2 linked regions of the Rhinolophus ferrumequinum genome follow. The protein of the gene in region 2 binds, or shares a complex with, the protein of the main gene of each other region. Links are inferred from orthologs where the notes say so. Each region holds a gene or a part of one and is shown on either strand. Other genes may lie near its edges.

Evidence for each region. The genes of interacting proteins can lie anywhere in the genome.
Region 1: CRCP (region 2) and POLR3K share a complex: the UniProt entries of both Homo sapiens proteins name them as parts of the RNA polymerase III complex. The link is inferred for Rhinolophus ferrumequinum from reciprocal best matches to the Homo sapiens genes CRCP and POLR3K.

The regions. Positions count from the first base shown.
Region 1 is NW_022680357.1:2,145,611-2,152,851, reverse strand, and holds the start of POLR3K (DNA-directed RNA polymerase III subunit RPC10), read left to right. Parts: upstream 1-4,239; 5' UTR 4,240-4,287; coding exon 4,288-4,398; intron 4,399-6,101; coding exon 6,102-6,189; intron 6,190-7,241. Other genes in the region: RHBDF1 (inactive rhomboid protein 1), read left to right, coding at 1-309; SNRNP25 (U11/U12 small nuclear ribonucleoprotein 25 kDa protein), read right to left, coding at 1,494-1,551, 1,998-2,072, 2,602-2,707, 2,946-3,036, 3,832-3,873. UniProt on the Homo sapiens protein: Core component of RNA polymerase III (Pol III) which synthesizes small non-coding RNAs using the four ribonucleoside triphosphates as substrates. Can mediate Pol I proofreading of the nascent RNA transcript.
Region 2 is NC_046290.1:99,603,556-99,611,076, forward strand, and holds the start of CRCP (DNA-directed RNA polymerase III subunit RPC9), read right to left. Parts: upstream 3,010-7,521; 5' UTR 2,876-3,009; coding exon 2,868-2,875; intron 1-2,867. UniProt on the Homo sapiens protein: DNA-dependent RNA polymerase catalyzes the transcription of DNA into RNA using the four ribonucleoside triphosphates as substrates.

The sequences.
Region 1 (7,241 bases), on a different chromosome or scaffold from region 2:
GTGGTGCTCTTCCTGTTCACATTTGGGCTGCTGCCCTGGATCGACAACTTCGCCCACATCTCGGGCTTCGTCAGCGGCCTCTTCCTGTCCTTCGCCTTCTTGCCCTACGTCAGCTTCGGCAGGTTCGACCTGTACCGCAAGCGCTGCCAGATCCTCATCTTCCAGGCCGTGTTCCTGGGCCTGCTGGCCGGCCTGGTGGTCCTCTTCTACTTCTACCCCGTGCGCTGTGAGTGGTGTGAGTTCCTCACCTGCATCCCCTTCACCGACAAGTTCTGCGAGAAGTACGAGCTGGACGCCCAGCTCCACTGAGCTGCTGGCCACTGGGGCCACCTGCTCCCGGGCGCCGTCCACCCCGAGCCTTGCAGGCCACGGACGGGGCTGCCTGAGCCCCGTGTGGGGTTCTCAGGCCACGGACGGGGCTGCCTGAGCCCCGTGTGGGGTCCGTAGGCCACGGACAGGGCTGCCTGAGCCCTGTGTGGGGTCCGCCCGCGTCTTGGACACAGACCTCTTGTGCCTTGTTCACTGCTGTTGACCCTCTCGTACTTCTGGGCATTTATTACACTAGTTCCCGTGATTCCCTTCTAACTAGTCTCTTGACGACCACCTCAGGTGGCCAATAAATGGACTGGGAGCGTTTTAGCTGCCACTAACTTGACCAGAGCTGCCTTCTGCTTTCTCGTTCCTGGCTGGGGGCTGTGGCGGGACGTTCCTCTCACTCACAATTCCCCAGACAAGGAACGAAGTATACAAAACACCTCCCAGGGAAGTCCCTCAGCCAGGTTGCACCCCCTGCCCCCAGCTCCCTTCCTAGTTACCGGTAGCCACAATGGGATACAGACCCAGGGATGTGCTGTCATTTCTCCCCCCCACACACACTGAGAAGCGCCCTCCCTGCTCAGCCAGCAGTTCCAGCTGCTGCCCCAGGCCCCTCCATTTCCGGGAGCCAGGGGATGGCACCGCTGTACAGTCCTGCGGGCCAAGGCGGGAGGCCCTGCCGACGGCTGTGCTCTCACACACAGGCCCGTTTGTTTCTGCACAAGTAGAAGAGAAAGCCAGCTGCGTGTGGGGGACACACATTTATTTCCTCCTGGCCGTGGGGGACACAGTAATGGTCAGGTGGCCTCCGCAGCCCTCAGGACGCACCGGCCCCATTCTCTGCCCTTGCCTCCTGGGATGCCGCAGTGCCCGTCCCTCCTGCCGGGACCGTGGCTTGTGGACTTTTCCAGGTCAGAAGCAGAGAGGTTTATGCTGTACTCAGGGCCTGGCCCACAGCCCTGTGGCATCTGCCACGAGATGAGGGTGTTTGGGCTCAGGGAGGGGTCAAGCTCAGGTCACGAGCACTGGCTCGTCAGGTCCTAGTCCTGAGGGCCCAGGCTTCAGACAAGTCCACCTGTGCTCACTTTGACATTCTCCTGTGACAAGGGGACAGTGGCCCGAAGCTGCTTCCTGCTGGGCAGAGCTTGTCACCGGCACAGTTGTCCTCGTCCAGGGGTTCATTTTTGCCTCAGCTTTTTGATGAAAGACACCTCGTCCCGATTCCGGATACCATAACTGAAAGAGAAGGAAAGGTGTCAAGTGTCTGATCTCCAGAAGGGTACATCCAGGACTCCTCACCTGAGGCTGGTGAAAAACCAAGAAAGAACAGGTGGGAAGAGTGTGGCATCCAGGAGGGGGCAGTGGCCACACGTACCAGGGGGCAGCCTTTCACCTCCATGCACTCTTTCTCCCCTCTTCTGCCTCTGTGCTGCCCTGAACTGCCACTGGTGAGAAGCAGTAGGGCCCCTCACCCCTCTCCTCCACCCGCATTCTCCTCGTGGGGGCCCCCAGCGGGAGGCGTCAGCACAGCCAGGGTCCTCTGTAGGTCTCACAGAGTCCTCAGGAACTGACTGAGGATCCCTCCTTCCTGGGAGGGGGCCCCAGCCGTCTGGCAGAGCATGTGTAACCAGACGGCACCGCCCAAATGCCTGCCTGTAGCTCAACATGTGGCCTGGACTTACTCTCGGAGCTTCTTCCTGTCCTCTGTGAGCTTCTCTCCTGCAGAGGTCAGATGGTACGTTCTCCACACGTAGGGCCTGCAAGGTAGGGTTTCAGGTAAACCGTGAGCAGGGTGAGTGGAGCAGCTGGGATGCAGACGCTGTGACTGAGAGCGGCTCACGGTGCTCAGCTCTGTGGGCCCGGGGCAGCCGGCCGCCTCTTCTGGGCTGTTTCCTGTACACTGTGCACTGTGCCTGAGGCGGCTACAAGGAGGCCCGGCTCTATGAGGGCCGTGTGGGCCATGCAAGGGAGGAGAAGAACATCCAGGAGAAGTCCTGGATGTACCGTCTGTAACTAGGAGACCACTTCTGGACACATCACACATGCCCTAAGGTGTCCCTAAGTACAGATACCAGCTGCCTAGGTGGGGTGATGCAGATGAAAGAGCAGGTGATGCAGGACTCCCAGGCACAGAAGCACCTGCCCTGTCTGAAAGCTCCGGGCAGGGAGCGCATCACTTTAGTCAGTACTTTGTAACAGGGCTCAGTGACTAAAAAGCACACGGAGTCCTGTGGAGTCCCAGTCCAGCTCCCAGGAGGGGATGCAAAGAGCCTTGGCGCCACTTACCAGCTGATGTGTTGAATGCCGCCTTCCCGCTCCTGCCTGAGCTGCACGTATCTCTGGATGGCTTTCTTCAGGTCCAGGACTGTGGCATTCTGTACCACGACCACAGCTGCAACCAGGGACACAAAAGGGAGAAGATCCATGGTGGGAAGCCCCAGCCACAGCCTCAGGTGGGGGGAGAGGAACCCAGAAGCCCTGTCAAGCCTTGTTTCTGACCGAGGCTCAAATCTGGGTGGGTGGGCTTGTGGTTGCCCCAACACCCATGGGCATGGCCCCTGAGTGTCCCACTGACCAGCCCCTGTGAAAGCTCAGATTGCACGGCCTGAAGGGAGGAGGGCAGCACTTACGCATGACTTCTCCATCCATCTTGCACACTCGGACTGTCATTGCTTGGCCATACTCTAGGGCTATTTGGGAATTGACCTCTTCCAAAGTAACCTAGAAAAGACCAAGGGGGGAGGTGGGAGCCCTGGCTTTACCACCCCAAAACGACAACAAAGAAAAACAAGGTGGTACTGTCCAAAGAGTGGTGCAACGTTATATGAAAGATGAGAAAGGGAAAGGGTTCTTACTTATATATCAGGGTTTCCCAGTCCAGCACCTCAATCTCATGTGCCACCCACATTTCCCATTTAAAGTCCAAAGCGGACAGAGGCTCTGGAGAAAGGAGCACAGGAACAGGCAAGAAGGATGGATCCTTTCATCCAGGGGCTGGGTAGGAAGAAGAACCCTGGGCCTGCCCGTGCGTTCTGGGAGCCTCTGATCACCAGGATCCAAGCCCGGGCCTCTGGAGAAGGTTGAGGCACGTGTGCGATGATACACGTTGCCAATACAACTTTTAAGAAAATACAAGTTAACTTGAAAACTCCATGATGGACCAAAGAATACTGAAGCTTGAGAAGGGAAAAAACCGGCACTAACGATCTCGTCCTTCTTTTGTTGGCGATAGGTTTTACACCAACTTTGTGTTATGAACGTATTAAAATATTATTTTATTTATTTATTTATTTATTTATTGATTGATTTATTTATTTTGGCGCTTCTTTAATTTCCGCGCCCCACGGGAGAGCCCCGCTCGCCCCGCCCCAGGCTCGGCCCTGGTTAAGACCCTCATTTACGCCCAGAGGTGCCTTCCTGAGGCCTTTGGGCCACAGCCCCCATCAGCACCGCGCGGGATCCACACCCGACGAACGTCCCGGCGGGGCACGACGCCTGCACCCTGCCCGCGCGCACCTGGATCGGGAGATCGCAGAGCAGTGGGTCCTGCACCACCATGGCGAGACCCTCCTGGAACACGTCCACCGCCTCGGAGTGCGGCAGCGCCTCCTCTTCGTCCTCATCGTCGTCCTGCGCCTCGGGCTGTGCCGCCGCCTCCGCCGCCTCCAGGGCGCCTCGCTGCCGAGCGCGCTCCGCCCGCACCGTCCGTCTGCAAGACCGAGGCGCGGCGCTTTCGCCCGCGGAGCAAAACCCGCAGTCAGTTCCGACATTAGGGCGTCGATTGGCTGCCGCGAGGACCAATGAGAAGTGCGAGATGGCCTGCCGCGGTGCTCGCTGGGAGCGCGACATCGGCGTGTCTATTGGTGGGCTAAGGTGGCCAGGACCAATAGGAGCTCGAGGCGGGCGGGCATAGTGTCGGCTCCTGGGCGGCCGCGGGGGCTGCCGGGAGCCTGCGGGGCTGAGTCCGCCGTCATGCTGCTTTTCTGCCCCGGCTGCGGGAACGGGCTGATCGTGGAGGAGGGACAGCGCTGCCACCGTTTCGCCTGCAACACCTGCCCCTACGTGCACAACATCACCCGCAAGGTGGGTCCTGGAGCCCGGCGTCGGGCCCCCGCAGGCCTCCCGCTTCCTCCGGCTGTGCTCCACCCCTGTCAGGACGCAAGGTGGAGGCCCTGGCCGTGGTCACCGCCGAGGCCACAGCGGTCCTTGTAACGCCGAAGTCAGATCGAGTCCGTCTTGCGCTCGGTAACGCTCAGCAGTTCGCCAGCGTGAAATGTGCTCGCGGGGCAGACCGAGCGTTGACACCACGCCCCTCCCCCCAGCCTTGCTTTTCTGATGTCAGAAAAGGGGCTCTTTTGCCCCAGAAACACCAGCCTCTTGGAGGATCCCCCCTGATGGACGTGGCATTACTAGCAGCGCCTTTGCCCACGTTTCCTGTCCGGTCCAGACTTCCCCTAAGACAGCCGTGCCACTCTTTTGTCACGTCGTCACTTAAATCATCACTCAGTGTAAAATTGCAGCCCTTCCGTTTTATCCTCTTTCCCGGTTTTGGTTTTTCTCTAGGACTCCTTACCTTCTAATAACACGGTATAATTTACTTACGTGCTTTGTTTACCGAAGCCGAGACCTAAGCTGTAGGAGGGCAGGGCTCTTTCTGTTTTGTTCCCTCTTGTGTGCTAGTCGGAACGCCGAGGATGGAACTGAGGATGTGGAGGTGTTCACTGCGGTGAATTGTGCTCACGGTGTTAGGACTCGGTATTTTCCCCTTGATCTTTTGTGGGGACAGAGCCCCAAAAAGCAGTTTCCAGGCTCTCGGCCTCACATAGCAAGGTGCTGGCTCAGGTAGTAAATGGCCATCGACTGATCAAATGGCCATCAGCTGTGGCTAGTTGGCCGTCAGCTGTAACCAGTGAGCCATTGGGCACTAATATAACTGCCGTGGCTAGGCTAACAGAAATGGGGGCTAGCGAGAAGATGGTGGCTGAGCCAGCAAGTGGAGCAGTGAGGGTTGAGACTTGTGTTGCTCCTGGTTTCCTGTGTCTCCAACCCAGCCGCCAGTGAGAATATAGTGGTGTGACTCCCCTACCTATGGCTCCGTGGGTGTTCCTTTTTGGCCTCACTATGTCCTGCGTTCTTATGTGGGGAGTGGGACCAGAGACCCCGCCTGACACCCTGCACGACATCTTTACTCTTTAGAAGTAGAGCCCCTTGGGGCCACCCCGTTCTGAGTGTTTGTGTACTGCACCATATTGCTGTGTTGTGGGAGTTTAGAGTCTGGATCTATGAGAAGAGTGAACTCTTACGTAAGCCTGACATTTCAAGGATGTCGGGTAAAACTTGGGAAAGAAACTGAGTGCTTTGAAAGCTCTCTGCCTGCGGGGAGCGGCTGGGCTCCCCAGCTGGTACTCTTTGGCTTCAGGTGTATTTGTTTCTCACATCTTGGGTTAGGCGGTGGTATCTTAGAGATATGGGCGTAGAGGAGGGTCACACCTAAGCCATCGTGTCTTCCTGCTCTGGTGTTTCATTCAATCCTTGCAGAGATCTTCTCTGACGGCTGAATCTCTCTCTTCTCTTGTGGGGGCATCCCAATCGTAGGTTCTTTAAATTCCAGTGGTGCGTCCTGCTCTGTGGTAGCGGGAACACTGTTTTCGTTTAGTCTCCCTGCTGGCTGGGAGGAAGACAGTCTGGGAAGACACTTGAGGGCAGCTGTGGAGGTGTGGTTTGGTGGCCCACGGTTGCACTGTTCACTGACTTGGAGAGTCTGAAGGCTTGCTGTTGTTTGTTAGGTAACAAATCGGAAGTATCCAAAGCTCAAAGAAGTGGATGATGTGCTTGGTGGAGCAGCTGCCTGGGAGAATGTTGACTCTACTGCAGGTAAGAGGGAAAGCCTTCTGTAACTGAGCGGTGGGTAAGTATGAAGCCACTGGCTGCTGCTCCGTGGCAGTCGGTGATGTATTTAGAAAGTGTGTTTGCGCTTTAAGAACTTACTTGTTAACTCCAATGATATTGGCACAAGCCTTGGAGTCGTGCAGTCCTGAGTTAAAGTCTCGGGGTGACTTCTTACTGTTTTATGACCTTGCTGGGGTCCCTGAAGCGCTCCAGGGCTAATCCACACTCATAGGTTGTGAGAGCACCCAAGTGAGTTATAGTGTTTCGCATATAACAGGCAATTCTACAGGCGGTAGCTACGATAGCTACAAGGTCAGGAATAATACAAATCAGAGTCGCGGGAAATAAATGTGGTGGTCTTGTTCTCATGCGGCGTGTTAAACGTTAATACCAGAGAGCACCTAACTGCAGTCTCAGTAAAATAAATGTTTCTTTCAAGTCTTGATTCGTTTCTGATAGACATAGATGTGACCAAGGAAGGGCAGAGCAGAGCCCTAGACAACCTGCGCCGAGGGGAGGAACAGCGAAGTAAGATTAGTGCCATTGCTCTGCCTCTCTGGACCGGTACCCAGATCCGCCACGTGAACAATTTAGCAAAGGCAGAAGTTGTCATTAAAAGCTAAGTTATGCCCCGAATGTCCAAAATGGTGTTTGAGAATTTTTGAAGGTGTTTCCATCAAGAGCAGGGTTAGTGTCGCAAAGTAAAAACCTTTGAAGGTAAATGTGTCCTGGGGTCCTCGGAAAAGGTACGTATGTGTGGTGAGATCTTGATAAAAGCAGCCTGAGGAGCTACTGCCAAATAGACCCCTAAATACTCGGGGAAGCCGATTGGTCAGCCCTTGGCAGCTCCTCTGGGAAGAAGAGAGGGCGTCTCCACGTCCCAGGTGATGGAGATGAATTTGTTAGGGGAAGTCTGCACGGCGTGGGCCCCGTAATTCACACAGCAGCCGTGTTACGTTTCCAACCAGTCTTCTACCAGGTTTGAGAAAAACAGTGAGAAAAAACAGTTTGAGAAAAACAGGGCGGGGAGGAGAGTG
Region 2 (7,521 bases):
ACATAGAGGAAAACCTGAGGGTTGCTACATGGGGGAGGGATAAGGGGGAAGGTGAGGGGGATTAGAAAGCAGGTGGTAACCACAAGAGGGCCACGGGGATAGGAAAGTAAGTTTAGGGAATGTAATCAATAATGTAAAGATTTTATAGAGAAGCCGATGGACACTTGTCTCATTAGGGAGACCACCTCAGGGATGATGTAGATGCCTGATCACTGCACTGTATACCTGAAGCTGAAGCTGAACAATAATGAATGTCAACTACAAGTTTATATATATATATATATATATATATGTATATATATATATATATTTATATGTATGTATATACATACAAGAAGTGGAGTACAGCATTAGGAATGGAGACAGTGGAAATGTAATGGCTCTGTGCGATGTCAGAGGGGTAGTGGATGGGGGGAGGGGGGTTGTCACTTTGTGAGGGATATAAATGATAAATGTCTAACTATTACATTGTTTTGTACACCTGAAACTAATTTAAAAAAAGGCTACTGCTTAATCCAGATCAGAGTTGGAGTAGAAAATTAGTATTGCACATGGTTAGAAGCAACTACATTAAAATATACTCTGAAAGTGGAGATGACAGAACTGGCTGATGGACTGGATTTAGGGGTGAGGAAAAAAGGCTAGATTCTTGGGGTGGCCAGTGAGCTCAGTTGGTTAGAGCATGGTGCTAATAATACCAAGATTGCTGGTTCGATCCCCACATGGGCCACTGTGAACTGCGACCTCCTTAAAAAAAAAAGCTAGATTTTTGGTCTAAGCAACTGGATGAATGATGAGGGGAAAGGGCTAGAAATGTACTTTTGGGAATCATCAGCATATAGATGGGTACAATGACCAGGGGAGACAGTGTGGAGAAAAAGGGTCCCAGTATGAGTCGTAAGATACCTCAACATTTAGAAGCCAAGAAAGGGAGGAAGGGGGAGCCAGGAAAGGAGACTGAGAAAGTCTTCAGGAGGAAATCCAGGTAAGCATGTCAGAAAGCCAAGAGAGTTTCTAGTTTCTGTACCAACTGTTGCTAAGAGATCAAGAGAGTTAAGGCCAGAAAATCAGCCTTTGGAAGTGACAACACGGAGGGCTCAGGTGATCTTCACAGACCCATTTCTGTAGACTGGTGAGGATTAAAGCCGAACAGAATGATTGAGTGAATGAGGGGATACACAACACTTCTAAGTTTTGTTGTGACAGGAATGATGGGAAGCAGAAATGGAGCAGTAAGTGGACATGAATGTGGAAACAAGGAAGTTTTTAATATAGATAAATTAAAGCAGGTTTGTATGCTGACAGGAAATGCTCTAGTAAACGGGGAAATTGATAATGATGGTTTGAGGTAGAGTAATACGAACATTTTTCCAGTTGCAGATTAAACCCCGTTAGTGAATAGCGAAATCAATTTAGAGGGTCAACATTCATTTTTAATAAATGAGTAGAAACTGAGGAAAGAATGAAGATGGGGAAAATATAAAATGGAGTCACTTTAACCAAGCTGCTAAATTATTAACATTATGAAGGTTGAAGTATGAGGAAACGATTCTTTGTCTTTTCTTAACTAGCCCCGGACCTGAAACTTTGGAACTTTCTAGTCCTGCATCAATACCTAGATATATACCAGTCTGTTGAGTGTCAATGCCCAGACATACATCAAACCTGCAGATAACCCTCTGACTACTCCTAAGGACTCAGAACAGACCTCCTGGCACTCATCCTCCAGACCATGGGCATTCATCATCCAGACCACCTGACATCTGACTGATAACTGTCCTCAACCAATCAGAGGCCCTAAAATGCAGGACTGTTTATTCTCAAGGATATAACTTTTACTACAAGAACTCAACTTTTCTTTCTTCTTCGGAACACTTCTTGAGAGTTTTGCCTAGCTGTGCTTCCACTTAGCAAACTCTTAAGACCCTTGAATAAATCTTTTTATTTAAATATTTTTATTCATTTATTTCTAGCCAGAGCTTCCTGACTCTTTTTCAGTAGTTTTGACAATATCAAAGTGTACTGCATACGGTAGGTGTTGTTTCATTAAGTTTTCACTTAAGGTACATATACGTATTGTGTGTTTTTTTTAAGTTTGAACAATAGTAGTATATATAACCATTAAACATGAGGCAAAAGAACGTAAAGAAAAATGTATTAAATAATCAGTGCCAAAGATGACACAATATAGGTATGCGTACGAATTAATGTCAACCATGTGAAAACACACATGCAGAGTAGCTGCAAAAGCTCCATTTGCATGTAGTACAATGAGCAAACATGAAAAAGACCAGGTGGAGTTAAACTGTCAGAATGGCTGTTCCTTCCTCCCTCCCTCCCTCCCTCTCTCTCTCTCTCCTCGGCTCTTTCCGTGGTTACAATCCAGGCTCAAGCACTTTCTTCTTCCCAGAAAACTCGCCTCTTCCCTCCCAGGGTTAACTGCTCCTCATCAAACTCGGGTGGCACTTCTGAGTCAGGGCCGCCCAGGAGCCCACTGCCTCGGACAGTTTATCCGTCTGTCCCGTAGGTACTTCCAGGGCGGACTCCAGGCTTTCTACCTTCTGAGTTCCCGCTCGGACACCCGGCCGGACTCCCTACTGTGACTTAGAAGACGCTAGTAAATGAATAACGGAGGAGGCAGCCACCGTGAAAGGCACTTGGCCCCAGTCCTAGGCACCGGGTGGGAGTGCGGGCGGAGGTTCAGAAGGGCAAAGCGAGGCTCTTTCTTCCCCGCCTCCGCCGCGTCACTCTTCCCACAAGCCCGGGCTGGGGGTCGCCCGGTGTCCCCGCCTCTCGGCCCCCAGCATGCAGCCGTCCCTCGCCAGGAGCCTCGGCCCACAGCCGGAAACGCGCCCCGGGCAGCTTACACTTCCATGCCGACCCCGCCTCGTCGCCTCCGGCCGCCAGCACACACACGACCTCAAACCTCACGGCCGCCGGCGTCGAACGCCAGGTCGCCCGCTCCGCGCGCCGCGGGGCACGCCGGGAGCGCCGCGCTGCACGCCGGGAGCCCGGCGGACCGGGCGGTGCAGCCTTACGGGCGGCTGCGCTCTCTTTCAGGTGTAGGTGCCATTCGCCCAGCCTGACGTCAGCCTGTGAAGCGTTTGCACACAGAACTTAGCTCATGTTAAGATTTCAAAGACGTCACCGCATTAGTAAACCTTTGCGACGTTAAAATCGTACCCCTCGGACACGTTACGGTGAGGGGGTGAGGCGGCTTTGGGCTGCTGGAAATAATCTTTTCATGATCTGAGTGCTGGGTACGCGGTGTGTTCAGTTTTTGAAAATTCAGTGAGCTGTACACTTATGTCCACTTTTGTGTATATATGTTTTAATTGGATAAGACATTTTAAAAGGGAAAAAAATCCCATCCTTCCTTCTCCCTCTTTCCATTCTTCCTTGAGAACGACTTGGCAAAAAAAGAAAAGTACGCATAAAGAGCCTTACCGTCAAGCACAGTCTGATCTTCCGGCCTTTCTAGGAACTTACCAAAGGCAATTACCAGGTGCTTTAAGAAAGATGAACGTGTAGTGATGTTTTGACTCGGAGATGGTCTAAATGCCCAACACTGGGGAATTAATAAATCATGTTTCAGTCATATAGTATAACATGCGGCCATGACAGGTTATGTAGCATATTTGGTACCCTGGGGAAATGCTCAAGATAGGGTTTTTTTAAAGATAGAAAATGATGTGGTGTGACCCTAACCTAAGGAAAAATAATGCATACGTAGGAAAAAATAAGGGTTTGGGAGGTAAAGCAACCTAATCTACCACATTTCAAGCCTTTTAGGGAAAAAAACGGGTTGGAGGTTGTGCTCGCTTCGGCAGCACGAATACAAAACGGGTTGGAGGTTGATGTCTATTATTTTCTGGATTTTTTTTAATATATCTGAAATATTTCCTAAAGACCGGATGGAAATGTGCCAAAATATTAACAGTGGAACGTGTCCTTAGATGATGAGTCAATTGCTATTTTTTTCTTTTTTATAGTTCTATTAGTTATCATTTACTAAACTCATTCTCTTCGTAAGGCCCTTGCTAAGCACTTTGCTATTCCATGATATTAACAGTTAATTGTGCAGGCTTTATAGTCAGAGAGCCTGTGATTCTGTTTACCTCCATCATTTTCTTAGGGACTGTTTGACCTTGAGAGATGACATACCGTCTCCTAACCTCAATTCCCTAATCTGAAAATCATAGATCCGTTAGGTAATCCTTATAATGTACCTGGCATGTAGTAAGGGCTCAACAAATATTAATTACTGTGACAATACAACCATAACACTATATGAGGTCAATCCCATCATTATTCAAATTTTATTATTGAGGAAATAGAGGCAGGCTTAGAGAGATTGCAATTCACCCAAGATCACTCATCTAAGAACTTGCCCAGCAGGGATTCAAACCCAGGGAATCTGAACAAATACAGGAATTGTATTTAATTGTTAATAGTGACTGATGATTGGATAAATAAAATGTGCTATATTAATTCAATGCAATGCTATATTTAGCAATAAAAGGAATGGAGTTACTGATACATGCTACTACATGGATGACCCTCAAAAACATACTAAGTGGAAGAAGCCAGACAGAAAAGACCAGATGTTTTATGATCCCATTTATATGAAATGTCCAACAATAGGCAAATTTATAAAGACAGAAAGTTAATCACTGATCACTGATGGCTTAGGGCTGGGAGAGGGGAGGCAATGCTAAGTGACAGTTAATAGATACAGAGTTTCTTTGGGGGAAACAGTGATGTCCTAAAATTAGGTTGTAGTAATAGTTGCATACCCCTATAAATATACTTAAAAAAAACACTGACTTGTAGACTTTAAGTGGGCAAATTGCATGGTATCTGAATCGAATATTGAATATCCACAAAGCTGTTAAAAAATGTTTTACTGGTGTTTGCCTATGGGTATTGGATTAGAAGAGAACTGAGGGGAATTTTTAACATTTAACTTTACACATTCAGAATTTTTAAAATATTTTTCAATGTACATGTTATTTTTAAATTATAAAAATATTATTTTAAAAAACACTAATTTACTTAAAATTTTTTTTTAATAAAATGCCACCCCAGGCCCCAGCAGTGCTAAAGACACACATGTGTTCTGTACTCAGCAAACAGTGGCGGTGGTGAAACAAATGTGAACAATGTATACTTCTTGCCTGGCTGACAGCCTAGTCTGGGAACCAGCTCTGGATATCGATAACTACAATATGTTGTGTTTAAACACAAGGAGCAGAGGAGGAAATGACTAATGAGGTGGAGAGGCATCATAAAGTCAGGGGGTTTGAGCTGGGTGAGGGGAGGAGCACACAAACACAAAACTGCAGGGATGAGCTTCCATACAAGAGAGGCTAGTGCCTCTGAAGGCCCCACAATAAAATGGCTGAGCTCCAGGTACTCCAAGGGTGGCCACCCTAAGACCTTGGGAATCACATGCAGTCACCTGACTTATCCCCTACGAGCAGCTTTGTAGTCAGGAGTGAGACCCTCTCCCAGGGGAAGGCTGCCCAAAAGGATCCTGCAGGATGAGCTAACCCAGCCAACAAGCTGGGACAATCAAAGGCTGAAACTCCCACCTGCACTGGCCCCAGGCGGGGCCTCCTTGCAGCTTTCCTAACTTGAGGATGCCTAATGAGTCCCTGTTCTTTGCCACCCAAAGCACACAAACCTAGTAAGTGTCTTGTTTTTCTTTTTCAACAACTGGCCTTTAAGCAGAGGTAGCAAATACATAAACAAAAGCACAGAATTTGAGCAAAGTCTGTATGTCTTCCAAGTGGAAAGTTCTGTTGAACACTGAAGCTATTAGGTCTAGAGCTCAGAAGAAAATCAGGAGATGGAGCTTTTGAAGTAGAAATGAAGCCTTCAAGTTAAGTCACCCAGGGAAGGTCTAGAAGAGTAAGACTTATTGCTTACCTGATGCCAGGGATTTGATCTACCGTATTTCCCTGAAAATAAGACCGGTCTTATATTAATTTTTGCTCCAAAAAACAGATTAGGGATTATTTTCAGGGGATGTCTTATTTTTTCATGTACAACAATCTACATTTATTAATGTACAAAAATCCACATTTATTCAAATATAGTCATGTCATCATCTTCTTCTGGAACATCGTCATAACTCTCCAAACCCCGAATTGCAGCTTGAATTTCTTGCGACTCCATTTCCTGTAGAACCATTGGCCCCAATCTCTCATGTCCAGCAATAGAGCGCTCCTTAAATGAGCACTTCTTGTCCATGTAGCCTGCTCATAGTGCAATAGTAACACAGCTGTCAGTGATTTTATCCCATGAATTCTTCACCCAAGTCACGACCTCTTACAGGCTAGGCTTCACAAAGTTTCCACAGATTTCCCTCCATTCTATTTTCAATGTAGTCATTGATTTCCATACACAAATGGTCCTTGAATGGCTTGTTTATTGCCATATCAAGAGTCTGGAGACAGGCAGTCATTCCTGCGGGAATAATTATTTGATCTATTCTCTCTGCAAGGAAGTTCTTCATGTCTTTAGCGCAGTGAGTGCTGGCTGAATCCCAGACTAGCAGACCTCTTTGGCCACCTGGCAAAACCAGTGGCAGCATTAAATTGACCCACTTCCTTATAACTGCTTGTGTGCACCAGGTTTTTTCGGTTTCAAGAACATAAATGCCTGAAACATGTTCAAACTTATTTTTCTTGCCCTTAGTGACGATTAGAGGTGGGGCTTTCTTTCCACCCAGAAGAATTGCCAAAATACAGGTAACACATGCACTTTTGTAACCAGTGGAGGGAATGTAGATTGACGAGGCACCCCTCTGATCAATTGTCATTTGAGATCCTTGGCCCATAAACACTGCAGTTTCATTCATAACAATCATGTTGGAGAGCTGGTATTTATAAAAGTTGTTGCCATCGACAAAGGACTGGAATGCAAGTGCACGTTTAATAACTTCAGTATCTTCCAGCTTTAACAGTGTTGTCGATCTTAGAGACAGTTCATATCGCTGAAGGAAGACATCCAGCCAGTGTTGCGAGGCTTTGAATTCTTCTGGGGTATTTCTAACTGTGGTGCCACTACAAGGTCAAATGCTTGAATATCAGCCCTGTGCACAACCAAAGCCTTTGCTCTCCTGTCAGCAGTCCATTCACAGATGATGTCTTCCAGCTCAGGAAATAATGATTACTGACCTGATCCACACTTGTGCTTCTTAGCGTTTCCCTCGTACACCTGTTGACTGAGGCTATTGTACTCTGCTCGCCATTTTTGAACCATTCGGAGATCCAACTTCTTCTCTTTGCAGAAAGCCTTAAGATTCTGGCCCCGGGAGTCCCCCACGATTCCTTTCTTGTACTCGACGGAATAGCTCTTTTGTTTTGCACTCATCTTGTCTGGGGATCAAAATATTATTCCCTTTAAATCTACCATTAAATCAAGTGTTACTTGAAGACTTACGACACAGGAGTGGCAACAAAAATGATGGCAGTTAAGATGATGGTCCACACAAAAGCGACGAAAAATTGTAGG